Notamacropus eugenii: one gene and its partners. The protein of the gene in region 1 interacts with the protein of each later gene in a pairwise test. Links are inferred from orthologs where the notes say so. Each region holds a gene or a part of one and is shown in the gene's direction. Other genes may lie near its edges. The genes, in order: LMO4, GRHL2, PDE4DIP and KIAA1958.

What was found.
Region 2: the proteins of LMO4 (region 1) and GRHL2 interact in binary tests that used the Homo sapiens proteins (3 or more experiments, as listed by UniProt). The two-hybrid records come from large-scale screens. The link is inferred for Notamacropus eugenii from reciprocal best matches to the Homo sapiens genes LMO4 and GRHL2.
Region 3: the proteins of LMO4 (region 1) and PDE4DIP interact in binary tests that used the Homo sapiens proteins (3 or more experiments, as listed by UniProt). The two-hybrid records come from large-scale screens. The link is inferred for Notamacropus eugenii from reciprocal best matches to the Homo sapiens genes LMO4 and PDE4DIP.
Region 4: the proteins of LMO4 (region 1) and KIAA1958 interact in binary tests that used the Homo sapiens proteins (3 or more experiments, as listed by UniProt). The two-hybrid records come from large-scale screens. The link is inferred for Notamacropus eugenii from reciprocal best matches to the Homo sapiens genes LMO4 and KIAA1958.

The regions. Positions count from the first base shown.
Region 1 is NC_092873.1:497,020,483-497,028,500, forward strand, and holds the start of LMO4 (LIM domain transcription factor LMO4), read left to right. Parts: upstream 1-5,010; 5' UTR 5,011-5,146; intron 5,147-7,592; exon of another isoform or gene 7,593-7,746; intron 7,747-7,830; exon of another isoform or gene 7,831-8,000; intron 8,001-8,018. UniProt on the Homo sapiens protein: Transcription cofactor. Plays a role in establishing motor neuron identity, in concert with MNX1, acting, at least in part, to disrupt LDB1-LHX3 complexes thereby negatively modulating interneuron genes in motor neurons.
Region 2 is NC_092875.1:149,734,181-149,741,740, reverse strand, and holds the start of GRHL2 (grainyhead-like protein 2 homolog), read left to right. Parts: upstream 1-4,555; 5' UTR 4,556-4,621; coding exon 4,622-4,641; exon of another isoform or gene 4,642-4,719; intron 4,720-7,560. UniProt on the Homo sapiens protein: Transcription factor playing an important role in primary neurulation and in epithelial development. Binds directly to the consensus DNA sequence 5'-AACCGGTT-3' acting as an activator and repressor on distinct target genes.
Region 3 is NC_092873.1:300,438,038-300,445,093, forward strand, and holds the start of PDE4DIP (myomegalin), read left to right. Parts: upstream 1-4,049; 5' UTR 4,050-5,043; coding exon 5,044-6,168; intron 6,169-7,056. UniProt on the Homo sapiens protein: Functions as an anchor sequestering components of the cAMP-dependent pathway to Golgi and/or centrosomes.
Region 4 is NC_092874.1:402,317,954-402,324,803, reverse strand, and holds the start of KIAA1958 (uncharacterized protein KIAA1958 homolog), read left to right. Parts: upstream 1-3,846; 5' UTR 3,847-6,850.

The DNA.
Region 1 (8,018 bases):
AGGAAAGTGAAATCAAGTTATGTTGCTGCTAAATTTGATTTTCATTCTCATAAGGTTATCTGATCTTTAGCTGAAGAGACCTTAGAGATACATGCCTTTCATTTTACAGACGAGGAAATTCACACTCAGAGGAGTTAAGTGAATTGGCCAAGATCAATCAGATATAACTGAAGCAGAATTTGAACCCGGGTTTAAAAAAAAGCATGGTTGTGGAAGATAATCTAAATTTATTATGGAAATAATTTGGTGCTGCAGAAACGTGATTTGGAGATGTTGAAATCCTCTCTCTCCTACTTAGTATGTGACCTTGGGTAAGTCAGCTTCTCCAGGCTTTAGTTTACCTGTCTGTCAAAGGGGATAGTGGAACTTAATGGACTCTAAGATCTCTTCCAGCTCCAAATTAATGATCCTATCATCACAAAAATCAAATTTAGTAACGATAAGAATTCAGTTTAGCATCCCTCTGTGTGTGTGTGTGTGTGTGTGTGTGATTGTGGAGGGGCAGATGTTGGACCACATAACTTCTAAGGTCAGTCCTAGTTTTATTCCTATGAACCTCTAGGTCAGGGGTTCTTAACCTAAGCTCCATGAATTTGGTCTCTTTAAAAATATATATTTTGATAATTATTTTGATATACTGAGTTTCCCTTGTAAGCTTACGTATTAAATGCATTAAAAACCTCATTCTGAGAAGAAGTCCATGGACTTCATTAGATTGCTAAGGGGGTCTATCACACAAAGGGATACATAACACATGCCCTAGGGCAAGAGACCCTTGGTTTTATTTGTATTTGATTATGCTGAATGATGAAAAAGGAGGTATCATCCTGACTTACATGCATTGATGATGCATAATTACTTTTATGCTGTCAAATAAGTGTGGTTCTGTTCATGCAAGATATCTTTCCCCAGAACCAATGACTTCTATATAGCTTAGTCTTAGACTAACTGACTTACTTGCTCATGGTCCAATTTTTAATAAACATGTAAGGCAGGACTGGAACCCAGGGCTTCCTAACTGTAGATCTAGCATTTTATCTACTATGCCAGACTACCTCTCAATTATTTAATAACTTATAAAAAATAATAATTTATATCATAATTAATACTATAATCATTGAAATAAATTGTAATTCTTTAGATTATAATTAATTTAATAAATGAATTAGATCTATAGATATTATTGTTGTAGATATTATTTTCCATCATTTTGAATTTTGAGATTTCCTCATAGATAAACCTTCCCTGCTTTGAAAGAACAACACTTCTGTGTGTATGTGTGTTTAATTTTTCTGCAGCATCACTAAGAAAAATAGCCAGAAAGGCCTTTCAGATTCTAAACCTTTATAGCTCCTCTAGAATAGATCAGAAAGTCCATGTGAAGGCTAAACCTGCAGAAATAAAGATTACCCAGAGGTGGCGCTCTGGTTAAAGTACACCTGGATTTTGATTACCGTGTACTGATTTACTCCAGATGCCTCTGAAGAGACATCGTTAACCATTATCTCTTTTGTATTTATGCAACCACAACCTCAGCAAACAAACATCGCTGGTAAAAACACTTCCCTCCACATGGTCGGTGAAGATATTACTCCTCAGACCAGAGGGTTTGAACATCCTTTAATCCAGGAGCAAACCAGGAGGCCTCTTTTAGCTTGCTTGAAGAATCACAGAAGAATCCACATCTACATGGGCCTTGCCAGTAGCCTAGCTTGCCCTTAGCCCTGGATAGGACTAGCTTCATTCTCACCTCGATGAAGGGCATTTTGCTTGAGAAATATACCTGAAATGTGCTTTTCATTATAGGCCTAAATTTAATTGTACCCCCCATCATGAACTGGTGTTATTTCACTTTTATGCTGGTAAATTATTTACATGGGAAAAATTGAGTTAAGAAATTAAGATCTGCTACTTCGATGTGCATAGAATTCTCTCTTCTGTTTGGTTTTGTCTGAGCCTTCTCATAATCAGATAATCACAGACTGAGTGGAGGTTTTGGTTTGGAGATTTTAAGGCGCTGTCTTATATTTCTACACTATTGAATCCTTTAAGATCACATTCCTATCTGTCATAACCATGGCAGAGTGAACCATGGCAAGACCTGGCCTCACTGTCCCACCTCTGACGCATACTGGCTATGTAAGCCTATCCAAGTTCCTCCAATTTCTGTATATAGATTTTAATGTATTGTCTTGTCTCATTACAATGTGAACTTTTTGAGGGCAGGGACCAAGCATTTGCATTTCTTTCTATTCTGAGCACTTAACTTAGCACAGTGCCAGGCACATAGTAAGCTCTTAATAAATGTTTGTTAACTGATGGACTAACTTCTTCCTCTTGTAAGAGTGTCAATTACAGAGAGGTTGCGAACCTGAGGGAATTCCTTAGTACAGTTCCAACCCAAAGTGAAAGAATTAAGAATATTACAAGTTTTGATACTGATGGACAAATTTCAGCATTGTGATATTTTAAGTTAATTGAAGAATGTTAATTTAGATATCTAGCAGAACATTCTGTATACTTTGCAATATACTACAATGCAAAGTATGCCAGATGGGGATTCTTAGGACCTGAGTGTGAATTCTGACTCCAACCTTCACGGTGCATGGTTTGGAGCACTTTTCTGGGTCTCAGACTCCTCATCTCTAAAATGAAAAAGTTGAACCAAATAACTTCCCCTTTAGCTCGAAATGTTGGATACTGAAGTTGTTTATTTTAAACCATTTTCTGCTATTTTGGGTGCATAGTCACCATTCAGATATTATTGCTATTTCTTTGAAAGCCTGAATTTTGAAAATCTGTAAAACTTGCAGACAGTAAAATCACAGCCTGTGAAGAGGGAGCCCTTCTAACTGGGTTCTTTGGCCAGTCTTCTTGTCTTCTCATCAGCACAGAGTATGGAAGAGATAAATTTATCCCACAGGGCTGATTTCATTCCATTTCCTTAAAAGGATGATAAGAGGTTATAGTCCAAAGGGAAATTACCATCACCTAGTCCTATCAGAAACTGAGATACAGAGAGGTTAAGAGGCCTTGTCTACTATCACTTAAGAACTGTAGGCTCAGGAGTCAGACCCAGTTGTCTGACACCAAGGCCCAGACTCATCTACTAAACCGCAGCTACCAAAAGGCCTTTGTCCTTGCACAGCTATTTTCCAGGACCATCCCTCCATAACTTTCTACTAACAATTAGACCTAATATTGGCCCAGCAAATAGGACTTTTATTACCTCATTTGCAGCTTAAAGTTGAATCCTGAGTTGAAACTTTAGAAGCTGACAGCAGGAGGTAGAGGGAAGAGAGACCCACTTGCAGGTTCTTTGACTGTGGGTGTTCCTGGGCTCTAACATGCTGAGAACATTGCCTCCAAACATATGATTTACGTTGAAAGTGAGCTTCCTTATTCTCCAAAGCATGCATGATTGCTAATCTGGCCTTATTGTTCAAAACTTTGCTTCTGGATGCCTGGGAGAAATGGGTTCCTCTTCTCCTCAGAGCAAGCTGACAAAGGAGGGCATGCCCAGTTAACGCCTCCATCAGATTTCTTCAGCTTTGTCTATGAGCCCAGGATCATCACTGAGTGTTCCCTGAGAGTCTACTAAGTGCGTTGGTTTATGTCTCGGTCAAGGGAGATTAAAAAAAAAGTCTCCCCTCTGAAAATTTCGCAGGGAAAAGCAAGATGATTGCTGTTTTCCCCCCATTAACAAAACTTCCCTTTAAGTTTCTGAACCCCAAACATCAGAGCTAACAACTTTGTGAGTGTGTGTGTGTGTGTGTGTGTGTGTGTGAACCCCACCCGTCCCTTGCTCCTGGGACAACAGCAAAACTGCTGGATTGGAACTTGAGGACGCCCCCTTCACCCATTTAGGGGGGTACGGGAGTGTCTTCTGTGAGAGATGCCAAAGTTTTCCCAGGGCCTAGACTGGGGATGTCCCCGAAATCCTTGAGAACTAGGAAGCGTCCCTGGCTCGGACACGCAAGGGAGAGTCCTGCGGAGGCAGGGGCAGCGGCGGGCAGCAGCGGGGGTCCCTGCGGGCTGCCGCCGCCGTGCTTCCCCACCTGCCGCTGCCCTCTCCTTTCCCCCAGGTTCCCTCCACTTCTTTTCCTCCTCTCCCTCTTTCCTCCCTCCCCCCCGCCTCCGGTTTCAGTCATCCCTTTGTCCTCCCCCGGATTGGCAGGTTTTATTATTCCGCCTGAACAATCCGGCCGCGCAGTGGCTGAGGGCCGCTGACGTCGGCGGCTGAGCTGGAGAGTAGTTGGGATTCTGCTCTGTCAGTAACACATGTGTAAGAGCCGCGGAGGGAGAGCGCGAGCGGGCGAGAGGCCAGCGCCGCCTTGGAGCCGGGCAGCGGCGGCGGCAGCAGCGGCAGCGCGGACAGCGGCAGCAGCCCGGCCTCGACCCGGCTGTCGGGCTTGGCCCCGGCTCCGCTCGCGCCGCAGCCCGTGCTGGCACTCCTGCGGAAGGCTGCTCTGAGTGGCCTGGAGGGACTCCGCCTGCCCGCCCGCCCAGCGCCCAGCGCCCGCCCGGGCTCTCGTTGTTTCCGCTGCTGCCGCCGCCGCCGCTTTCTGGATCTCAGCAATCGCCGCCGCCTCCGCCAGACCAGAGCGAGCGAGGGAGGGAAGGAAGGAGGAGGAGAAGGAGGAGGAGGAAGGGGGGGCCGGGAGGGCGGGGGGGGGGGTGCCGAATATACAAAGTGAAGCCACATTGCCAAACTTGCAGCAGCGACTGCAGCAGTCGCCGCCGCCGCGCCTGAAGCCGAGCTGCTCGCGGGGCCCGAGAGCCAGCCAGCCAGCCAGCCTTGCAGCTGCTCGGGCGAAGCTGGAGGAGGAGGAGAGAGAGAAGGACTGAGACGGAACCCTCCGCTCCGGGGCCGGGCGGCCACTTCGCTGGGGGGCACCCGACCCACCAATAGAGCCGCGCATTAAAAAAAAAGAAAGAAAGAAAAAAGATTACCTTGTCCCACCCCTCCTCCTCCCCCCTCCACTCCACTTCTGCAAGAACTCGCTCCCTCCCTCCCTCCTCCTTCCTCCCATCCATCTATCCATCCAGCTCCATCAGTCCAGCAGCCCGGGGAAGCCGAGCGAGCGGCTCCGCGGAGATCTCGCCGCCGCCGCCGCCGTCTTTTTGCAATATAGGGGAAAAACAGGTAAGCGGACTTGCTGGGGAGAGGAGATGGGGCGGGAGGTGGGGGGGAGGGCTGGGGGTTGGTGGTGCTGGTGGCCCGGAGACCGGGAAGGGGGGGAGGTGTCCTGTACCGTGGTTGTTTTCTTTGGCTGCTTTCCCTTCCCCGTCCCAAATTGCAAGTAAACAATACGTCGGCTTAGATAATGAGGGAGTCTGAAACTAGAGGAAGGCAGGCTGGGGGGCGGGCTGGCAGGCGGGTGGACCGAGCAGGAGGCCGGCAGGCCGGCAGGCAGGCGAGCACCAGGGCCGTCAGCTTTGTAGCGGTCCCTGCTTACAAAAGGGTTTGTTCGAAGAGGAGGGCTTGGGGGGGGAAGGGGGGGAGCGCCTTTCCAGCCCAGAAGTGAAAGGCTTTGCCTGTTTCGGTTATGAATTGAGGTGGGGAAAAATAGTCTTGCCTCCCTCCTCCCCCAACCCCCCTTCGCCCCCCAGTAAACACTATTTTTGAAACAGTGGCAGAAAGGATCAAAGTGGGCAGGGTTTTTGTATTGGTGTCTTTTTTTTTAAAGAAAAAAATTCCTTTTGGCTTATAAGTCTTTTGTTTCAATCCAGGAGAAATCCGGTGAATCACCTAATTAAAATCAAGACATGAATTAAGCATCCATTTTTGTACTACAAATTGCCAGCCCTACGCCTGTCCCTCCCTTGGTCTCCATTAAAAAACACCAGAGACGTTGTTAAAGGGGGGCTTATTTTGCCTCTAGCTGCCAGTTCTGCTTTCTGTTTCACTGACTCTATCCCAGGACCTAAATTGCTCGGCTATGTAATTACTAGAATATAAGCCTATTTAACTTAAAAGCTTTTCTTTTTTTTTTTCCAACTCTAAATGAAACTTGATGAGGGCCCGTCCTTAGTTATCTGGGGAGTCAGTTTCTGGTCAGTCCTTGATTCATCATCTCTTTTAGATTTAATCAGCATTAAGGTATTGCTTGTCCTTAAGAGCTTTAGCTAATGGGGTTACTGGATGCTTCTGCTCAGTGTAATGTTTCCTTTAAAAAATTATATATGTACATACACATATGTAATACACACATTATAGAGAATATACACACATACATACACATATATTTACATACATATGTTTACTTCACAGCAAAGATTCAGGATAAGCAGCATGGAATCTCTCCCCGTCTCTCTGTCTCTGTCTCTGTCTCTGTCTCTGTCTCTCTCTCTCTTCTCTCCCCCTCTCCCCCCCGCCCCCCTTTTAAAGGAATTCAAAGCGATTAGAACGTAAAGGGAAACATTTTTAAGACTCTGGGCAGGAAATGCAGATTCATTTGGGTTAGGGCTGAAATTGTAACAAAAAGCAATTCCTCGAGTAAATGCATCAGATAAATCAATTTACATAAAGGTATGATGCATTCGGATAAATGCAATGCTAATGGGTTTTAGAGTGGTCCTGTTTCCAAAGTCTCGGGGTTTTGTTACAGCTTAATTGGTGGAGTTCTTTTTCTGGTTTATTGTGTGGTCACTAGAGACACGTTCAGGGACGCTTTCGGAGGAAATGTGTTTAAAAATCGGCCTATTTTAGGAACCCGGGGACTTGGGGCTTGGTGCCCTCCCCTCTTGCCAGCTACCAAGTTGGGCCAGGGGCAGGCAAAAAAAAGTTCGCCGTCTTTCTTCGGAGGTATCAGTCTGAATGCCTTTAGGAGATGGCCCAAAGCCTTGGTATGAGTACACACACTCGGCTTACAAAGGACAAAGACAAAAACATGCTGCTTAATTGGCAGTAAATAACTTGATCTTTTTATAGTATAAGTGACTGGAGGAACACTAGGAGTTTATTGGACTCGGGATCGGAGGCCACAAATTAATCGGTTTAGTCTAAGCTTTATAAATTGATTCCTATATTATTCCCCCAGTTGCTGCCTCTCTTGTGGCATTCATTTAGAAAGTGTGGGGGAATTTTTTTAAAAGCAGTTTTTGGTGACAGCCTGGCTAGCTCGAATTTAACTAGTGTATCCCTTGATCGTTCTCAGATTATCCCCAAAGTTCTTCCCTCCTCCTCCTTCTCTCCCTACCCCCCCCCTTTTTTTTATGGAACAAAGCTTTAGCATTTAAATTACTGATCAAGGGCAGATTAGCGAGACAAAAGTGGAGTGTGTTTGTATAGGAAGTTAACAGGCGTCCTAAAGTTCAATGATCTATTATTCTGGCCGGTGTCCTGAAAACCCAGAGAAAACACTCATTGATCTTCAGAATGAAATGAGATTTGGAACAATAATGGGAGATGGCCGTCACCACAATGGCATGTGAAAGGTGCTGTTTAAAAAATCCGAAAAACCAGTTTCGCAACTTTACACACTGCACTGTTTCCCTCTCTCTCCCTTTCCCCCCACTCCCATCCTCCATCCCCCTTTCCCCTCCCACCCCCACTCCTTCTATTTCCCTCTGCTCCCTCTCTCTCTCCCTCCCTCTCAGGAAACTGAAGTGTTCCCAACTTGAGCTCCAGCTGCACTTCCCAGAGTTGGGCATGATATAGGGGTAGGGGGCTGCGGGGGGTGGGAAGCCTGGGCTCGGCCCACTGCTGCTGCTCGTCCTCCTGCCTCCGCTGCTGGGGCTGGGGTAAATGACCCTCATTTGCTAGAGGCTAGATGCGTGCCGAGGTGGGGGTGGGGGGAGATAGGCGGAGGCTGGGGGCGGGGAGTTGAGAGTGGGTGGGTGGGAAGGAGGGAATCGCACTGCAGAGCCTCTCTCGCTAGAAGACTTTGACAGTCGCCAAGCTGAAGTTGTCAGTGTGGGCTGCTCAGCAAAGTTCCGAGGGAGCCTCTTGGATTCGGAACCGAGCCCTGAGAACAGTGCTTTGGAAAGAGGGTCTGGTTTGTGCCCCTTCCTTC
Region 2 (7,560 bases), on another chromosome or scaffold:
GCACTATATTGGAGTCAGAAAGAAAAAAAATTTCTGCCCACTGGGGCCTTACATTCTAATGTAAGTAAGAACACATACATGGGCATAGCTAGGTGGCTTAGTGGATAGAGGGTTAGGCATGGAGACAGGAAGACTTTTCTTTCTGAGTTCAAATCTGGCTGGAGACACTAACTGTGTGAGCATGGGCAAGTCACTTAATCCTGTTTGTCTCAGTTACCTCATCTGTACAATGAGTGAGAGAAGGAAATGGTAACCACCAGTCTTTCCAAGAAAACCTCAAATGGGAAGAGTCAGACACAACTGAAAAAAAATGTATATAGATAAGATACATACAAAGTAGATATGAGGCAATCTTAGAAGTGAAAGAACTAGCAACTAGGAGGCTTTCCTATAGTACATGGCTTAAGTTGGGTCTTGAAAGAAGCCATATATTCTAAGAGGTAGAAATGAAGAGGGACACCATTTCAGGCATAGGAAATGTGCAAAAGCCCAGAGATGGAAGATGAGGCACTGTGTGTGAGGTACAGTAAGTAGACCAGTATGGTTGAACTATAAAGTACATAGAGGGAAGTGAAATATAAGATGAGTAGGACAGACAGGGCCAGATTGTAAAGTTTTAAAGGCCAAAGAAAGGCATTTATATTTGATTTACAATTCTATTTGATCATAGAGGTGATAAGGAGTATGTTGTTCAGTCCAATAAGGAGTAATAGGAGTCTGAATAATGGGGTGACATGGTCAGACCTGATTCTTGAAAATATCACTGTGGCAACTGTGTGAAGGATCAAATGAAGTAAGAAGATACTTGAGGTAGGTAGACCAAGTAGGATGCTCTTGAAATAGTTTAGATGAAAGATGGTGAGAGTTTGAGGAAGGAAGGGGATCTATTTGAGAGTGATGTTGTGGAGATAGAAACAAGATCTGACAGCTAATTTGTTATGTAGGTTGAGTCAGAGTGAGCCGTTGAGGATGATGCCAAGGTTTTGTACCTGGATGACTGGAAGGATAATAATGCTCTAGCAAGAAAAGATTTGGAAGAGATGTAGGTTTGAGGGAAAGGATAATGAGTTGTTTTGTACACATTGAGCTTGAGATGCCTATGGGACTTCAGATTGGAAATGTCCAATAGGCAGTTTGTGATGTGTGCCTGGAACCCAGCAGAAGAACTAAAGCTCCTTGCGTAAATCTGGAAAGTCATTTGCATAGAGATCATAACCAAACCCATTGGAACTGATGAAATCACCAAACAAGGGCATTGTTTTTCAGTCATGTCTGATTCTTTGTGACCTATAGAGTTTTCTTGGCAAAGGTACTGGAATGGTTTGCCATTTCCTTCGTCAGCTCATTTTACAGATGAGGAAACTGAGGCAAACTGGGTTAAGTGACTTTCCCAGGGTCACACCACTGGTAAATGTCTGAGGCAGGATTTTAACTCAGACCTTCCTGACTCCAGGAGAGGTGCTCTATCCATTGTGTCACCTAGCTATTCAATGAAGGGGTACAGAAAATAGAAAAGAGCCCAGAATACAGTCTTTGGGTATACTACCAGTGGATATGACATGGATGAAGATCTTTGTTTCTTTTACTGCATCTTCTTCATGTCACTGTGGGTGTCCTCCAAGATTCTATCAAGAGCCCTCTTTTCTCTCCATACTATTTCTTAGTGATTTCCTCAGCTCTCATGGATTTAACAACAACAAAGCATTATATTTAGACTCATTGCTCTAGACTGATAGACTGTGAAAGATGAAGAGACTTTAAAGAACTCATCAATTTTATCCTACCTCCCCTCATTCAAAGATGTAAAGATTTCATGTTTATTGCAGTTGATCATGGAATAAAGTAATAAGCAGAACTGGGATTAGAACTCAGTTCTCTTTGAATTTCAGACTATTGCTCTTATTTTTTTTTAAGTTTTGTGATTTATTTGACTGTCAGTATTTTGAGTACTGTTGTTTCTCTGAATGTTTTATTAGAAAATACTTTTTCTTCTTAATCTTCAAAGGTCTGCTTTGCTATAGTCGTAAGTGTGATTTCCAATATATTTTTTTCATGGAAACTATATCTGATTTTATGACTGAAGTTGATGAGAAAAATAGAATCTATCTTCTATAAATTTATTTTATAGCATACTTTACAAAAACAGTATTGCCTCTCTTTTGTTAATCAAAGAATAACTACTTTACACACAATTTAATGATGTCATGTTGACCTGTCTCCTTAGACAGTGAAACTTCATTCAATCTCTAGTGATTCTTAGGGGAATATTTTCAATTTAGGCTGCTATTGAGTTATTTGTTGTGAATAGAATGGTCTGGCCAGCAAACTTAAATTTTACTTTTTCAATCAGACCCTATCAATGGTTGCAAATGCACTGCCACAGCATCCGTTTTCAACACCAGATGTTGCATCTTGAAGCAACAAATCTGCTTTATTTAAAGTGTTTCATATTAAGAGTAGGTAGCTACTTCCCCCTCCCTCCCCTTTTCTCCCCTCTCCATTTCTTTGGGATAAGTTGAGAATCACCTCTTAACAACTGCAAAATTCTCAAAAACGAAACCTCACTGAATGTAATCTCAAATTCTTGATTGTTTAGAGGCCAGTTATAATTTGGGGATTATGCAGATCTGTTAATGGTTTGTTATTATTCTCTACCTATCGACTATCTGTTGATATGGACATAAACCTAAACAAAAACTCAATTTTGGTACTTACTGGTACCTCTCAAATTATTTAGTAACTGAGAAAGTTTAATTTATTGGATAACATTAACTTTTTGGATTTTCAATTTCAGCAAATCATTCTGGCTTTCCTCCATTTATTCAGATCTTCAAGGACTAACTGCAAACAATATTAATTGGATAACGAATACAATATATCTCCTGAAAATTAACAAAATAATTAGCAGGTCAGAAACATCCGGGCAGAAAGAGAAAGAGAGCTTGAACATCTATCATAGTTTACTGAACAAAGTCTTTGTAAAATAGTTCCATTTGGGTGTATCACCATGTTTGACATAAACAATTTAGTCAAAATATTCAGAATGAGCTATATGTAAATCTTTATTTCTTCATGGGATGGAAGCGAGCCAGATAGTAATAGTCAAATCTTAATTTCCATGATGTATTTTCCAAAGAGTATTTGATCCAGAAGGATAAAACAAAATCTTAATCTCTTAGACAATCTCTTTGACTTCAGCCTGAAATAAAAGGGTATATTTTCTAGTGCTTTTAATACTTATTTAAAGATCCTCCATGTTTTTTGGCTAGGTTCTCCCTGCTAGCCTCCCAAATCAAGCAAGTTCAAGTGTTAGGTGTCACACTTTAGCAACATATAATTGTACACTACCTATTTGCTGTACAATGTTGCTTCCAGATTCTAGAAATGTAGTTATGAAAAATGCAGTTTTATCCTTAACTGTCACCCTAGCAACCTTACTAAGCTGGAGGGATAAAGCACCTTTGTAGTGGCTGCTTCTATTGAATTACAATGTAAATGTTGATGCATCCCTGGGAAACATCAAATGACAACAAGGTGCTGGGGTGTTGTGGAGGGGCTGTGGAGAACACAGATCTAGCACTGGTTTGCTGCTCTGGAATCCAAGTCTTCAAAGTACTTGTCACCCAGGAGCCCATAATGGTTTCTATTTAACAAAACTTTTCCACTCCACCCGAGAACAGACCAAACCCAAGAGTAAAATGTTGCACACGTTTTGTTCTTCTGCACTTCAAGATCTTCAATGTTGTGCGTAAAGTTGGTATTCTTTTTTATATAGTTTTCGTTTCTCTTATTTTGGAAAGCATAAAGTAACTTTATTTCTGTTTTCCACCCCTGTCAACCAGCCCTCTTCATGTAGCCTTAAACTGTGTTTTGAACTGTTTTGCTCGTTCGATCAGAGCTAGCCTAGGATACTCGAATTCAGTATTGTTAACTTTCTTTGTCTTTAGTTTGACCGACAATTCCACGAGTCTGCAGGTGCTGGCTGTTTTCTTCCAAGGCCTTAAGGAACGAGGGAAATGTAGCATGAAGGAGACTTGAAACGCCCCGACCCAATCAGGTCTTCCTGAGGTTGCTCCAGAGCCCGGGGCTGCCCCTGCCGCCCTGGCTGCGGCTACTGCTGCTGTTACTGCTCAGGTAAACTTTGGAGAGTTACCTGCTCTTGGAGAGGGGCCTTACCTGAGCGCCTATCTGCCAATGGTAGCTCACCTGAGGGCTCCCCGCAGCCAATCAGCGCGCAGCTCGTCCCTCAGGCTTGTACCCTTTAGTGAAAGAATTCGGCTCCTAGCGAGAAAGTTACCTGTGGCCGCCCAAGTCCTCCACTTTTCGCCCGCTCTGTGCCTCCCCTTTGCCACCAGCGAGGAGAAGCTAGCAGCACCCCGCCGCCTCCGAGCTCTTGCCACATGTGAGGGGGGCCCGCTCCTTATCCCACCTTTCCGGCTAGGTGAGGGAGCGAGCAAGCGAGAGAGAGTGGTTGAGGGGGAACGGAAAAGCAGAATTACCTGTACCTCTGGTTCTGCCATCTCGGGCGCTCGCACACACCTTCACCTGCACAGACTTGAAAGTCCAGTTTCGCCAGAGACTGAGGCACCAGGAAAAGGGGAGAGAGTTCATTGGATCAAACATGTCACAAGAGTCGGACAAGTAAGTGGATCACACGCTGCTGCTGCCGCCGCCGCCGCCGCCGCCGCCGCTCCTACTACTCTGGGCTGATGGCAACTGGTTTGTCGTTTGGGGCTTTTATTGTGTGTTATTGTGTTTGATTTTTTCCCCCTCTTTTGTGCATCCGGACCGTTTCGGATTGTGTTTCTTCCCTGATGAGGGAAAAGGATTAAAAAAAAGCCACAAGAATAGGAAAGTTGAAGAACTCCTTTGGGCCTTGCTCAAGAAACTAGTTTTTTACTTTCCTCTAAAAATGAATATTTTTCATCCTCTTAAAAATAATTAGACATTTGCAGGGTTTTTAGTGGTGGGACAGTAGTCTTTTCCCTGACTTGATAAACCCTCCCCGCCCTCACCCCTCAAACGTTTTGGGGGAGCCTTTTTCCCTTTGAAAGTTCAGCCGAGGTTCCTCGATTTTTCCTACAGGCCCAGCCACAAAAAAAGGTTCTTCGCTTTTGTGTGAGAGCAACAAAGAGCTTTTATATTGAAGTACAAACGGCCATCTTCCCCTCACCCTGAGTGTGTGTGTGTGTGTGTGTGTGTGTGTGTGTGTGTACGTGTGTGCATTGTGCGCGTGAGCCCGCGTGCGTGAGTGCGTGCGTGTCTCGCTCCGAAGCCGCGAGCAGTTTGGGGAGCCCAGCCTTCCCCCAGGGGGTGCTACTGGATGGCGCCATCTCCTCCCCCACCACTAAATCTCCTTCTCTCCACCTCCTCCCCTCTTCCTGCCCCCGCCCCAATTCCCTTTATGATTTCCCTGTCTGCTTTGTGCCCTGGGAAAAGGGCCTTTCAAAAGTGAGAGGCATTGATTCCCGACAAGAACCTGCTTCTCAGCAGTGGCTGGTGGCATTGACCCCTATTCCCCTGGATGTCTTGTCAACACTAAATCACTAAAGTAAAGCATCCCCGCCCGCCCCCCCGCCCCCCAACCTCCCCCCACAAACGTCGCTGCGGCCCAACTCCTAACACTGAAACCTGCTGCTCAACTTAAGGTCCCTGCTTTTGACTATAGGTCAGGAGGCCTTAAAATAATCAGGTGCTTGTGTTTGCTCTCTTTATTTAATTATTTATTTTTTCGTGAAATTCCCTCTTGCTTTTACAAATGGAAATCTGAGAGTTGGAAGACTGGGAGGAAGTGAATCAGGTGTATTTATATCAAGGAGAACAATAAATATCCCTTAAAGTCAGGAGTTGAAATGCACGTCTGCTTCGTAGAAAAGAAATAATGAAATGGCTCTTGTGACACTGCGAGGGTGGAGGGAAGGGGTGGGGTGGGGCCGCTGGCCGAGTGGGAGTCAGGACAGCCCGTAACTAACGAAGACTGTTACTAAGAAGTCCCGGGGGCCTTCAATTGGGTTCCGGGGCGCTAGACGATCCAGCACACTCTCTTGTGACTTCTGCGCTGTGCTGGTCGCAGCAGCCTCTCCCAAGCCGGCCTGGTCCCCGCCCTCTCTTCAGGCTTTGTGATGGGAGGGGGGAGGGGGAAGCTGGAAAGAAAGGGAGCTGGGGGTTGGTGCTTGTACATTTCATTGGCTTGAATGGCAGCTCTCCCCTCCTCACTGCGTCCCCAAGTCCGAACGATCCTCATCCAATTGGAAATGCGTCGGGGTTCTTTTTTTTTTTTTTTTTTTTTTGCTTTTGCTTTCGCTGGTAACTTTACCCCAGTGTTGTGGCCGAAGCTGAGACCTTCCTGATTGTGTCATTGAGAGGCCAAGCAGCCCAGCGCCTGGAGGCGGCCAACTGCTTGCTCTTCTTTGGAAGAATTTTGCCGGGGGCCACACTCTCGCTTAGGGACCCTGGAGGGACTTGAGGTTGGGCGGGAGTGCCGGGAAAGTTCCAAGGAGAGTAGAGAGTTTGAGCCCGGACTTTCTGTGGGGATGGTGACCTCACCTCAGGACATAAGGACTGTCTTGTAGTTGTAATCGTCCTCATCGACGTGAGCCACAGGGACTGAATATTGATAATATCTATTAAATTTACAATACAAATATGTTGGGCACCAAAGACAGTTATTGCAGCTGCAGGTAAATAGTGGGTGTGTTGACTGGTGTGTATGTATGGAAATGGGCATGACTTGAAACTAGTTCTTTCTTAGCAGCCTTTAGGGAAATACCAGTTTCATGCAGATGAATGTAGTTTTTACTGGATTTCAAAACTTCACGTCCAGGATCAAAATGCCAAGGGTGTGTGTGTGTGTGTGTGTGTGTGTGTGTGTGTGTGTGTGTGTGTAAAATGTTTGCCAACATGTGGTAGGAAGGCAGGGTTTTGACTTCTACTGTATACATCTTTAGTATTTTATGGTGCTGTAGTTCCTTTATTTGTATGGTACAAGGACCATTTAGCCTAGCAGCTTAGTTTTATTTGTTATTTAACGTGAGGCAGAAAATTCCTTAATGAAAACACTTTGACGTTTATTTAAACAAGTTACATTCTATCCCAGCAAGGACAATTTGTTTACTGTTCAAAACAAATTTTGAACTTTAATGATTGACTTTGCAGTATGTTTTAATATTTTAATTTTCAATGGAATTCAAATCAATTCAACACACTTTTATTAAGCACATACTGTATGCAGAGCCTTTGCAGGACCTTAGTACTATAATAATTTCTAATTCTTTTCTGTCTGGAGAAAATTAATTGTGCAGACAAAATTGCAAGAAGACAAAACAATAAACTACATTATCTATACATGTGTTTCTGAACTGGAATTATTGAGAAAAACTTTTCAAATCCAACAACAAAATAACTTTTCTTGATAATGTAGGCTCTCTCTCTCTCTTTTTGAATGGAGAATGCTCCAAAGTAGGCTTGTGTACTGTTGGGGAGAGGGACAGTTTCAGAGACGGTACATAAGGCTCAGTTCCAGTTCTACCATCTTCCTTCAATAGCTCTTCACTGATCTCC
Region 3 (7,056 bases), about 200 Mb from region 1:
AGTCAGGGCAGATCAAGGCATACTCCCTACTAGACAGATCAACAGCTGCATTTCTGAAGAATCTTGTTCAACATGTCCTGACTTAAAACTCTTACTAGAGGGGGCCCAGAAAATGTAATCAAAGGAGACTGTGAGACTTCTTAATTTTATGTTGGGTATTTCACAGGATTTCAGAGCTGGGAAAAAGGATCCTCCTTCCAACACACCTCATACTGACAGCCTTTGATTGAATTGCTTTGATTTGGTGACAGGACCATGATATGTATAATTAAATAAGATATCATAATTGGAAGGAAGGGAGGGAGGAAAAAGGCATTTATTTAGCATTTACTGTTTATCTGGGATATGTGAGAGACCAAGGATACAAAAGCAAGCAAAAAGAAAGACAGTCCCAGTGCTTAAGGACCTTACTTTCGGACTTGGGAAGGTAACACCCAAAAGGGAGCTGGAAAGCTGGGGGAGGGGAGAAGACATTGAGGAGAAGGTCTCCTCTCCCTTCACCTTCATTCTGAAACTTGGAAGTCAGGAGTGGAACCAGGAGGAGAATAAAGACTGCAAAGTTGGGGGCTGAACCAGGAAGGGAACAAAGTTTGGCCAGGCGTTATACCCCCTTCTACAAAATGGAGGCCAAAGGAGGAATTCCCCTGTGGGGGAGGAGGGTGGACCTAGCAGAGGGATAGACTTGAGGAGGCTCAGACTTGAGGGAAGTTCCAGAATGAGGCAGGGGCAGAGGTTTGGAAGTCCAGAAGCGAGGGACAGGGCTGGTATCTCAAGACCCCAGAGCTCTTCAACTCTCCAAACCTAACCCCTCCCCCCAAATGGAACTGCTAGCAGTTTGTTTGTGTTTTCTTTAGCTGAATATCAGGATACCCGGGTTTGAATATTTGCATACCAGATTGAGGCGCTAAAGAAACAGATGGTGCAATTTATTATGATTGCATTCAAACCCTACTTTGGAATCTTAGAACTCTATTTTGGGGCCGAAAATTTCAAACAGCAGAGTTATAAAAGTATCTGTTCTCTGTTGGGAGGCAAGGCATTTGTACTGGGTGCCACATGGGACACTGAACATGTTCTCAGAGATGGCTGGTGTAACTGGGAACCTACTTACCTGGGGATTTCTCTTTTGTTTTAGTGTATTGGTTTCCCAAACTTTTTTGGCCTACTGCCCCCTTCTCAAAAAAAATTACTCAGAACCCCTATGGAAATCTATTTTCTTTAACCTTTTAATTAAAAAAAAATTGTGTCATTTAAAAAAAGATGCATCTTAAATTTAATAATTTACTGTATACTTGTGGTTTTTTTCTGCATTGGAATTTTGATGATGCAATATTATGTCATGTAACTGTATAGTATCGTATTATAAACATGCACATATTCCTGTGGATGCATGCTGGACTTCTTGACAACAAGCCTACACCCCTACCAATACTTACTTGTTAAGACCTGCCCTCCAACTTGACCACTGATGAGTTATAACTTGCATTTTGTGTGTTTATTTGGAAAAATAATGTAATCACTACGACTGATACACAACAGATGAAATGTGTACCAATATTTTTGTTCAAAATTATCTTCTTTCCTTATACTTCTACTGCCTCTTACTTTTATTCAATACCCACCACCTGCACCTGAGGCTACTACTGCCCCCCCCCCCCCCCCCATCATTCTAGCACCCCCTGGGGGGGTGTTCCTACTTTGGAACTTATATAGGGTTGGAAAGAGCAGTGAACTGAAGACTAGGCCTCTAGTCCTTGCTCTACCCCTTTACTCACTGGGTGACTTTAGACAACACGCTTAATTCCTGGGATTATCCTCTGTAAAATAGGGATCATAATAATTACACTCCCTTTTTTTATTGACCTATAAAACAATGTATGCAGTTATTAGACTGGACATGAGCTGCACCAAACTAAGTTCAGTGCCTTGCTCATAAAAGGTACTTAAAAAAAAACCTGTTTAATGAATTGAACCAATATATGGGGATCGAGCCAAATATCAGTCTTGAGCATAGGATCAGACCACTAGAGGAAACCATCTAGACCAATCCCCATATTTTGCAGCAAAGGAAGCTGAGGGCCAGAAAGTTTAAATACAGTCAGTAAATGTCAGAGGTGGGACTTTGAATGTGGAATCTCTATCTCAGGAGTTCTTAACTTTGTGTGTGTGTGTGTGTGTGTGCCCATGTGTGTATGATGGACTTCTTTGGCAGTCTAGTAAAAGCCTATGAACCACTTCTCAGAATAATGTTTTTAAATGCACAAAATAAAGCACATAGGATTACAAAGAAAACAAAGTATCGTGGAAAGATTAATTTTTTTTCATCCAAGTTCATGAAACCCCTGAAATCTTGTAGTTCATGGAACAACCCCCAGATATTAACACCTATTCTATCTCCAAAGTCAATTACTACATTCACAATTAAAAAGTTGCAGCTGGGACCTCAAGAGTCCTCTTATCTATCACCTTCATCTTAGAGACTGAATCTTGGAGAACTGAGTCAGGGAGACCTGAGTTCAAATCCTGCCTCTAATACTTAACTATATGTATGACCCTGGACAAATCACTTAACCCTATTTGCCTCAGTTTCCTCATCTGTAAAATTATCTGGAGAAGGAGATGGCAAACCTTTTCAATATCCTTGCCAAGAGAGCTGGACATGACTGAAAAACAACAGAACAAAAATGAGTATCATAATAGAACCTACCTCACAGGGTTGTTATAAAGATCAAATGAGATAATATCTGTAAAGTACCTAGTACAATGCCTGGCACATAGTAGGGGCTTAATAAATGTTTCTTTCCCCCTGAAGTCATTATTAACAGGGTGAAGATTCAAATCCAAGTTCTCCACATTTTAGCCAAATCCAGTGTTCTTGCTCTATGTATGCCTCTGGTAAAGGGTCCCTCAATGCTTCTTAAAACTCACTCTCCTCAGCACTGATCCATCTTTCTCAGCCACATCACTTGTGAAATATCCAACCCTAGGCCTTTTTCCTTGGTGCTCCTCGTTGGAACTGAATCAGAGGAGCATATCTTTTTGTCTCCAAAACTTTCATCTTTACCTTTTTTTTTTTTTTAAAAACTTTCTTCCATCACTGAACCCTCAACTCCAGGTATCTTCCGACTTCCCTTGGTTCATAATTCTGTTTAGCTCCCTGAGTTTCTAGATATTGGAAAGAAGTGGGGTGTAGAACAACAACAACAACAAAAATCAGAAGACCTGGTTTCTGGTCCTGCCCTGACTTTTTCTATCTGTATTTTCTTGAAGAAGTCACTTCTGTTTTCTCATAGATAAAAAAAAAAAAATGAGATTGGATTGGATGACCTTTTCCTTCTCTTCCCCTTCTAAATCTATGATCTGCCCCACCTAACTCCAAATGACCATTTCCCTCTTTTACCATAGCCTTGGTCTGGTATTCAACTCCCTCTTCCCTTTCTCACTTCTCTCTGCCACAGACTACTAAGTATAGAGTGGGTTTTCCACGACTTTTTTTTTTAAACAAAAGAAGAGAGAATAAAAACATCCAGGAAAAAAATCCCAGGATAAGGTAATCAAAAATTCATTTAAAACTCCCCATACTGAACGGTGCCTAAGATAATCTTGAACTAAAATTCCCTGGCCCTAGGTCAGACTTAATGACCTTCTCTAGATAATGATTATCTGGCTCCCTTATGGCCCCAAAAGAGAATCTGTTCCCCCCCCCCCCCCACCTGTCCTCTTCTGTTAAAATAGGATTTGTTCACCTGAATGTCCTGAATTGAGCTCGTTGGCCTGTTTGTGACGATCAAAAGCGATAACTTATGCAAACCCGCCTGAACTCTTTAAGGCTATATAAATGGTATTATTATGATTGTTACCCTTCCAGATCCATTCTCACTCAATCCCAATACATTACGGATTGCACAGAAGGTTTCTGGAGTGTTCTGCCTCCTTGTCCAACCTTGCACTTGCAAGGATATTTTCACTCGGGCCGTTGGCTCGTCCCACTAGGTTACGTTATTCTCTATTTCCCATGCCCCAGGAGAAGTCCTCGCCTTCTCTTTTTCCTGGATGGTTTGAACTGAGTTATAGCAGGTGTGGTGGAAGGACATTCCTTCGTCCCAAGACGAGATCTCGAATCCATAGAGAACATTTCAAGACGTGTCCGCTGTCTGAAAGGATGCCCATGCAAGGGCTGAGCAGGGAGGGGGTGCGGGTAGGAGGAGGCGAGGGATGGCGCTGCCAGCTCGCACCGGGGTACGTGGCACTGACTGTCCCCGAGGCTGAAAGGAGGAGGAGAAAAAGAAAGAGGAGGGAGTTCTCTCTCCCCTCCCCTTGTCCTTGCGCAGGAGGAGCAACCAGTAGACGGACAGCTCTGAGAGACTCAAACTGCAGGATCTGGGGACCTTTCTGGGCAGAGACCGAGCTGGCAAGGTTCACCGCTCTCGCCCCCTCCGCTGCTGAAGCCCACCCTGAGGATCGCAGAGACGGGGATGTCCAAAGGCTCTGCGCGCTCAGCCACTTGGAGCCCCAGTCCGGGTGGACTGCAACTCCCAGAAGCCCTTTACAGTTCCCGCGTGCGCAGAAGCCCCTGGCGCCATCTTGAAATCTGATCCTCAATCTCTGAGCTGGAACGTTAGTGGCGGCGGCTGCTTCGGCGGCCCTGAGCTGGGGCAGTGGCTGCGGCAAGAAGAGGAAGAGAGGTCGGAACGCCGTGCCGGTGGCTGGATGGCCGAAACCAGGATGGCGGGTTCAGAAGGAGTCCGGCGCCGGGGTCGCTTGGCATCCCCTTGAGTCTCCCGCCGGCGGACAGCCGGTCCACGAGGGGCGGGGACTCCCCGCGAGTGGTACCCAGAGCGGAGCGCGCGTGCGCGCCCAGGTAGAGGCACAGGTGTGGGGCAGCCGGGAGAGCGGGTGCCCAGGGGCATGGCGTGCCGCGCCACGGAGCCCCCGAGTGAGTGAGCGCTTCCCAGCCCGTCCCACCCGACCTTATCCCTCGCCCGTCCCTTCCCAGCTCATCCCCTCCCGTCCCTGGGAATCCAGGCACAGCCAGGACCGAAGATGAAGGAAATCTGCAGGATCTGTGCCCGGGAGCTGTGCGGCAACCAGCGGCGCTGGATTTTCCACACCACCACCAAGCTCAACCTCCAGGTGCTCCTGTCCCATGTCCTGGGCAAGGATGTCTCCCGCGATGGCAAAGGCGAGTTTGCCTGCAGCAAGTGCGCTTTCATGCTGGACCGCATCTATCGCTTCGACACCGTCATCGCCAGGATCGAAGCCCTCTCCATTGAGCGCCTACAAAAGCTGCTGCTTGAGAAGGAGCGCCTCAAATTCTGCATCGCCAGCATGTACAGGAAGAATAACGATGACCCCAGCACCGAAGCCAAAGTAGGGAATGGGACTGTGGATATGTCCAGTTTACCAGATGTCAGATACACGGCTCTGCTCCAGGAAGACTTTGCATACTCCGGGTTTGAGTGCTGGGCAGAAAATGAGGACCAGACTCAAGAAGCTCACAGCTGCCACACTTCAGAGGGCCCTGGAAACAGGCCCAGGAGGTGTAGGGGCTGTGCTGCTTTAAGGGTTGCTGATTCTGACTATGAAGCCATTTGTAAGGTACCCCGAAAGGTAGCCAGAAGCATCTCCTATGGGGCTTCTACCAGGTGGTCTACCAGTATATGTACTGAAGAGCCAGCCTTGTCAGAGGTTGGGCCACCAGACCTATCAAGCACAAAGGGACCAGCAGATGGGGAAAGCATGGAAGAAGGAACTCCTGGTTCCTCCGTGGAATCTTTGGATGCTACCGTACAGGCCAGCCTTCCACAACAGAGGGATGAGGAACCTGAGAGAGGCAGTAAAGAACTCCCAAAGTGTGATTGCTGCTCAGATGATCAAGCGATCCAATACACATGTGGCCACAAGCTGGAACTAGCGCTTAACATGATTAAAGGTTTTGACTATAAACCCATCCAGAGCCCCCGAGGGAGCAAGCTTCCTATACCAGTGAAATCCAGTCCACCTGGAACCAAGCCTGGCCATCTCATGGCAGATGGGACCAGTCCCAATTTCCTAAACAGGCCTGTGAAATCCCTTTCCAAGACACCTGTGGGTTGTTCCCCAGAGATTTCTGAACTGCAAGAACTGTGGGATGATCTCTATGAGGACTATTTGCCGCTCCGGTTCCAGGTAGATGATATGTAATACTATGACAATTCAGTTTTATCAGATGACGCAACTAGATTGTCTCCAGACTTTCACATGGCTTCTAATTAGTCAAAGTTAACCAGCAAAGTTAACCAGTCAAGTATTCTAACTCTATTCTTCCTTGACTTTCATGCTGCCCATATTTCTCTTGCCACTTTTTGGTGTGTAGGTAAATCCATTTGCAGCTTTGATTCTGCATGCAACATCAGTTGACCCCCCCCCCCCAAAATTTTTTTAAGCAAAAAGATTCAATCAACACTAAATTCTTAGTAAATGTTGTTTCTAAAAAAGGGCAGACAGCCTTTGCTCTAATGCTATCCCTCTCTTGTTTACCTCTTCCTCTTTTAGTTTCACAACTTGATTGATCCTTTTCATTGTCAATGAGAGGGCTAGTTTTTTCTTTCTCACAGACTAGCCTGGAACAGTAATCTTTTTGTGTTCAAGTGCTCCCAAAGTGATTGTAGCAGATGGTAGAGTTTGAGGAAAATCCATTAATTAGTAAAATGCTATCAGAAAAATGTTTTTGTTCAGCTGCTGTACTTATTATAATTAAGGGCATCATTTGGGGGCTCTTCTTCAAGATGGCTTGTTTTATCCCTTGAGTCTTTTTTTTAAAATTGTTTTAAAGGCCTTGGGGATTAAACTAAGATATTACTTAAAGCATTTAGGTGAAAGTCACTCCCAGTCATCAATCCCAGGTGCATTTGTGCTGAGTATATTTTTCACGAAACTGAGGTTTTTACATACTTGTCTTATGGCAAGAAGACCACTTCAACTAGTATTTTGATTTCACTTTAATGACTTGAGAGAGGCAATTGGTCTTAATTCAGCCTAGACACTAGAGAGGTGCCATTTTGTTTCTATAGTAAC
Region 4 (6,850 bases), on another chromosome or scaffold:
TTCCCTCCTTAAGCCAAATCCAGTGAGAGGTTCACTCTTCCCCTCTCACCTCCTTCTCTTCCCCTTCATTTAAAAAAGCTTTTTCTTGCCTCTTTAATTCTATTTCTCCCTTTCTCCTTCTCCCAATATATTCCTCTCTCATCCCTTAATTTTATTTTTTTCAGATATCATCCCTTCATATTCAACTCACCCTGTGCCCTCTGTCTATATATATATATATAATCCCTCCAACTACCCTAATACTGAGAAAAGTCTTAAGAGTTGCAAATATTATCTTTCCGTGCAGGAACGTAAACAGTTCAACTGTAGTAAGTCCCTTATGACTTCTCTTTCCTGTTTATGTTTCATGCTTCCCTTGATTCTTGTGTTTGAAAGTGAAATATTCTATCCAGCTCTGGTCTTTTCATCAAGAATGCTTGAAAGTCTTCTGTTTCACTGAGTGATTGTTTTTTCCCCTGAAGTATTATACTCAGTTTTGCTGGGTAGGTGATTCTTGGTTTTAATCCAAGCTCCTTTGACCTCTGGAATATCATATTCCAAGCCCTCTGATTTCTCAATGTAGAAGCTGCTAGAGTTTGTGTTATCCTGATTGTATTTCCACAACACTCAAACTATTTCTTTCTGGCTGCTTGCAATTTTCTCCTTGACCTGGGAGCTCTGGCATTTGGCTTCAGTATTCCTAGGAGTTTTCTTTTTGGGATCTCTTTCAGGAGGTGATTGGTGGGTTCTTTCAATATCTATTTTACTCTCTGCTTCTAGAATATCAGGGCAGTTTTCCTCAATAATTTCTTGAAAGATGATGTCTAGGTTCTTTTTTTTTGATCATCATTTTCAAGTAGTCCAATAATTTTTAAATTGTCTCTCTTGGATCTGTTTTCCAGGTCAGTTGTTTTTCCAATGAGATATTTCACATTGTCTGCTATTTTTTTCATTCTTTTGGTTTTATTTTATAATTTCTTGATTTTTCATAAACTCATAAGCTAATAAGAGCTTCCATCTGCTCCATTCTCATATTTAAGAAATTATTTTCTTCAGTGAACTTTGGGAATTCCTTTTCCATCTGCCAATTCTTCTTTTTAAGGCTTTTTAGATCTCTTTTGCCATTTGGGTTAGTTTATTTTTTAAGATATTATTTTCTTCAGCATTTTTTTGGGTCCCCTTTAGTAAGCAGTTGACTCGTTTTTCATGATTTTCTTCTATCACTATTATTTCTTTTTCCAATTTTTACTCTATACTTGATTTTCAAAATCCTTTGTGAGCTCTTCCATGGCCTGAGACCAATTCATAGTTTTCTTGGAGGCCTTTGATGTAGAAACTTTGACTTTGTTGTCTTCTTCTGTTTGTATATTTTGGTTTTTCTTGTCACTAAAGTAAGATTCTTCAGTCTGATTTTTTTCCTGTTTTTGCTCATTTCCCCAGCCAATTACTTGACTTTTAAGCTCTTTGTCAAGGTAGTTTTCTGTTTCCAGTGTGGGTGGGGAGTGTACTTTCAGCTGCTCCATCGTCCCAGTGGGCATAGAGCTCCAGAAACAGCCGCTGCTGTTTCTGCTACTACTGCTATGGCTGCAGCTGTGGCTGCCACAGTCTCCTCAACCCCCTCTGCCACCCTGGGGCTGGGGCCAGACCACTCTACTCTCTCACACAGGTCATACAGATTTTTTTCCACTGACCTTCCAATTTATCCTCAGTGTTTCGGGGTTGTGAAGTCTGAAAGCCACCACAGGTGCCAAAAATTCAGTCCCCTTCTTAGTCTGCTCAGGTCCTGTCTCTGCCAATGTGGCCAACACTGCACTGTGCTCAGCTCCCAGCACAATGTGATAGATGCTTCCCATTGATCTTCCAGGCTGTCTTGAGGTGGATATTTGGTTCACTCCATCATTCTCTGTTTTCTGCATCTCCAGAATTTGTTTAGAGTCATTTTTTAGAAGTATTTGGCTGGGTTTGGGGGGAGAACACTAGCTAGTCTCTCCTACTGCACCATCTTGATTTTATCCCTCCTAGACCACACTTCACAAATATTATAACAAGTATTTTATCCTTACAATAACACCAGGACATAAGTGCTATTATTACTATTCCTATTTTGTAGATAAGAAAACTGAGGATCAAATAAGATAGCATATATAAAGTGCTTTGCAAACTTTAAAGCTCTATATGAATTCTAGATACTATTAGCAATTTTTTGTTATTTTCTTGTTCAGTCATGACTGTCTCTCTTTTTGTGACCCTGTGGAACCATTTTCTTCTCCAGTATGTCCCCATTTTACAGATAAGTAACTGAGGCAATTAGAGGTTAAATGACTTGCCCAAGGTCACACAGATATTAAGTTTCTGAGGCTGGATTTGAACTCAGGTCCTCTTGACTCCAGGCCTGGTGCTCTATCCACTGCACTACCAGCTTACCAAATAGTGGTAACCAATTTGTAATGGAAGCTCAAAAGCACTGAAGAACTCAACCTAGAAGGAACAATAAGAAATTGACAGCAGTGCAGATCACATAGTCTAACACTCCTATTGAACAGGTGAAGAGTGTTAGGTCCCTGTAGGGGAAGTGGTTTGCCTAAAGGTAAGGTACATATAGGTAGCAAGTGACAAAGAAAAAGAAATTGAAGTTGGGTCCTCTCTCTCCAGATTTAAGGGGCTTATTCACTCCATTGCATTGTTTCCAATAAAGTTTTCCTTCTTAAATTATGAAGTCTTTTTTCAAGAAAAATGGATAGTGTCAGGCAATAATTTTCTCAAGTTTTATGCTCATGAACCATATGCCAAAGTAGTGAAAAGTTCCTCCAGTTGTTCCCTGGGCTCTTTGTGTCATATGAGAGGCTGAATATATATGATCGTTGACTAAATTTCAGGAATAAACCTGAATGTCTTCTCGAGTAACTGACTTAATCCCAACATCCATAAAAACCCCAACATTCTAAATGAAAACAAATGAGTTTCTAGGACAATTTCCTTGATTGAAGATACAAGTACTTAGCTGAGGGTTAAATGGAGAACAAAGATAAGCTTTGATCACATTCTTGAGAAAATTGGGGACTGGCAAAATGAGCCAATGTTACTTTGAATTCATCTAGTAGACAAACAATAAAATATTACTAAATGCCTGAGACTTCCTTTCAAAAGAGGGACTAAAAAAAACCCCAACAGAAATAATTTATATCCTGTGTGACCCAGGGCAAGACTCTTAACTGTAATTGCCTCCAAAAAAGAGGATGGAAGAGAGGGGGGGGGGGGAAGGGAGGGAGGAAGGAAGGAAGGAAGAGAGAGAGAGAGAGAGAGAGAGAGAGAGAGAGAGAGAGAGAGAGAAAGAAAGAAAGAAAGAAAGAAAGAAAGAAAGAAAGAAAGAAAGAAAGAAAGAAAGGAAGAAAGAAAGGAAGAAAGAAAGAAAGAAAAAGCTAATGATGTGGGGCACATAGGTGGCACAGTGGATAAGAGCCCTTGGCCTGGGGGCGGAGCCAAGATGGCGGAGTAGAAAGACTCACATACACATAGCTCCGAACCCACAACCCATAGAACATCTACAAAAAAGTAAGGGGATAAGCAGGGTGGGGGGGATGATGGAAGGGAGGGCACGGGGAGGAGGGAGCAATTGGAGGTCAACACTCATGGGGAGGGTCAGGATCAAAAGAGAGAACAGAAGTAATGGGGGACAGGATAGGATGGAGGGAAATATAATTAGTTCTTACACAACACTACTATTATGGAAGTCATTTGCAAAACTACACAGATCTGGCCTATATTGAATTGCTTGCCTTCCAAAGGGAAGGGGTGGGGAGGGAGGGAGGGCAGATTGGCAGACAGGGGCAATTAGAACGCTTGGTGTTTTGGGGTGGGGGGAGGGGACAAAAGGGGAGAAAATGTGGAACCCAAAATTTTGTGAAAATGAATGTTAAAAGTTAAATAAATTAATTTAAAAAAAAAAAAAAGAGCCCTTGACCTGTGGTCAGAAAGGCCAGAGCTCAAATGTGACCTCAGACACTGTGTGACCCTGGGCAAATCACTTAACCCTTGCCTACATAAAATGGGAGAAGGAAATGGCAAAGCACTCCAGTGTCCTTGCCAAAAAAAAACCAAACCCATGGATAGAGACCATGGGGTCACATAGATAGTTGGACATGACTGAATGACTGAACAATAGCAACAATTATTCTTTATGCCTGCTCCACCTATTTCATTGTGCCATCAGCTTCTGGTGCAGGGCAGGACCCTACTGCTCCCTGCCTTCGAGAGAGCTCCTCTTAGCCACATGAGGTTCAGCTTTTATAACTAAAAATCTTGATATTTCTCCTTTCTTTCTGACACCTGGGAAGGCTTTCTTCTACCTGAAGGACCAGTCTTCATTTGTTCAGCCAGTGAAATGCCACAGTTGAATTTTAAGTCTTTTTAAGTATGAAGAATCTCTTAAGCAATTAGGTGGGATTGTCCCAGTGACTGAGAGCTATAAAATTATAACCTCTCCCAAATTGGAGGCAGGCCTTGAGCCCCAGGGAAACTATTCTCCCCTAAACTTTGAAAAAATTCATTTTGATTGACTTGAAAGGGAGGACCAGGAAGCTGATAGCACCAGCAATAATGACAACTATCATTTTATGTAGCAATTTAAGTTGTGTACAACTCTTTATATGTATTATCTTATTTGATCCCTACAATAACCTTGCTGAGAGCTCAATGCTATTATTACCCCCATTCTCCAGATAAGAAAAGTAAGACAAATAAAGGTTAAATGATTTTCTCAGGGTCATATAACTAGTTAGTATCTGAGTTCAGATTTGAACTGAATCTACTGTGCCACCCAGTTGCCTATTAGTAGTATAGCTTCAGCCACAAGTAAGTCCAGGGAAGAGAGACTTTTTAGTTTCATAAATTAAATTTGTCTTTTTTGTTTCATTACAATATGATAAAAAGGGAATAGTTTTATGAATATCAAAGAGATTCTGATTGTTAGTGGCCTAAAACATTAGTTAAGGTATCCAGGCAAAAGGACCTGAAATTAGACTCTTGGAAGAATTAAAACCCTTTATCTTACCTGGTTTTCCATTACAGTCAAATAGGATAATAGGTTTAGAATTGGGTGGAACCTTAAAGTTCCACATCCTCATTTTACACATGAGGGAACTGAGGCCCTTGCCTCATTAAACTTGCCAAGACTGGACATTAGCCAGTGTTCTCTGATGCCAAATCCCATTCTCTTTTTCTCAACAAACATTGATTAAGCACTGTAGCAGGTTTATCATGAAAACATCCCCAATTATTTTTATGAATGGAAACTTACACAAATACTGAATGTTAGAAATTTTTGTCACAGGTTTGGAGTTCTGTTAGGGAGAAGATATCCAACCACTAATCCGGCAATTAAGCACTTCCCTCTCAGACATAAGGAAGATGAATTTTCAGTACTAGGGCAACATTTATGACAGAAAGAAACAACCATTGTTGATGTTCTCGGGAAGTTTAGATCATTTTTGTTATTTTAACTAGTTCTTTTCAATTAGGAAAAAAGAACAACCCAGAAAAGTTAATGGTACCTCACAGAACAAATACGATGAAACTGTAGGGACACTTTTCATTATTTTAATGCAAGCGGTCAAGTTGTACCAAATACTAAAGTCTTTTCAATATTTTATGGATTTTCTTTTGCCAAGGTTCCTTTTGGTTCACTGTAATAGCAGATAGCATGAGACTGTAATAGACAGCCAGCTTAAATGTCTGTTACTTCACATTTGTTACTTTGGGGGAGAAGAGTTCCATTTGTTTGACCAATAATAGTTTTAAATTAATTTATATGAATATTGTATTTTCTAACCAAAATTTAAACAGACTTCATGATGTGCTTATTGATTACTTAAATCCTCTGTGGGTGTCCTTTATGGATTGGAATCCTGAGGGATGGTTTAGCTCTGAACTTTTACAAGCCTAAACTTATTGAATTTATTTGAGTCAATTCAACAATCATTTTTTAAAGAGTCTACTATGTGCCGAATACTGTGGTGGGCTAGGGAAAGATACATAAAGATGAATTTTTTTAAATCCCTGCTCTCATGGAGCTTATAATCTAGTGGAGGTCTATGACAAGTACACAAGTAACTAAAAGAGACAAAAACAAATTTCTCTGTGACAGCAGAGGAGAAGGGATCTAATGGCTCTTAGGGGGATGCTTATGGGTTCATGTTCAACCTAGTTCTGAGAAATATTGTTGAATGTAAATTGAAGGGTCTAGAGTTCCAAGTCCTAGTTTCTTTCATGTCAGTATCTAGCTGTATTGTCTTGGTCAAGTTATATATTTCTCTGGGTTTTAATTTTCTGTTATGTAAAATAAGGGGATTGTTTCCAAAAATCTCATGACTAAAATTAGCTCTAATATTCTATTATTATATTTCATTCCTACAATCATTGAAGATAAGATTATGCAGGACTTGGTGATGAATATTTCTAGTTATTTATTCATTAGAACTTATTTTTATTTATACATTTTTTATAATTAATCATATGCAAACTAGACTTAGAGAAGTTTTGTTGATAAATTTTATCTTTGACTTTTTATTTCATTGAGATGTCATAAATAAAGGAAATTGCATACCACTCCAGTATCCTTGCCAAAAAAAGCCCCATGGATAGAGTCCATGGGATCACATAGTTGGATATCAGTCAACAACTAAAGAATAATAAACACAAATAATATTTTTTTAAAAAAGGAAATTTTCTCTCTTTAACTGCAAAAGGAAAATAATACTGGTGTAGAGTCAGAAGATCAGAATTCAAACCTCTCTACCTCTGAATACCTATGGACCTTAGGCAGATCACTTAGTCCTCTTTAGTTAGACCTGGTTTTCCTCATTTTTAAAACTAT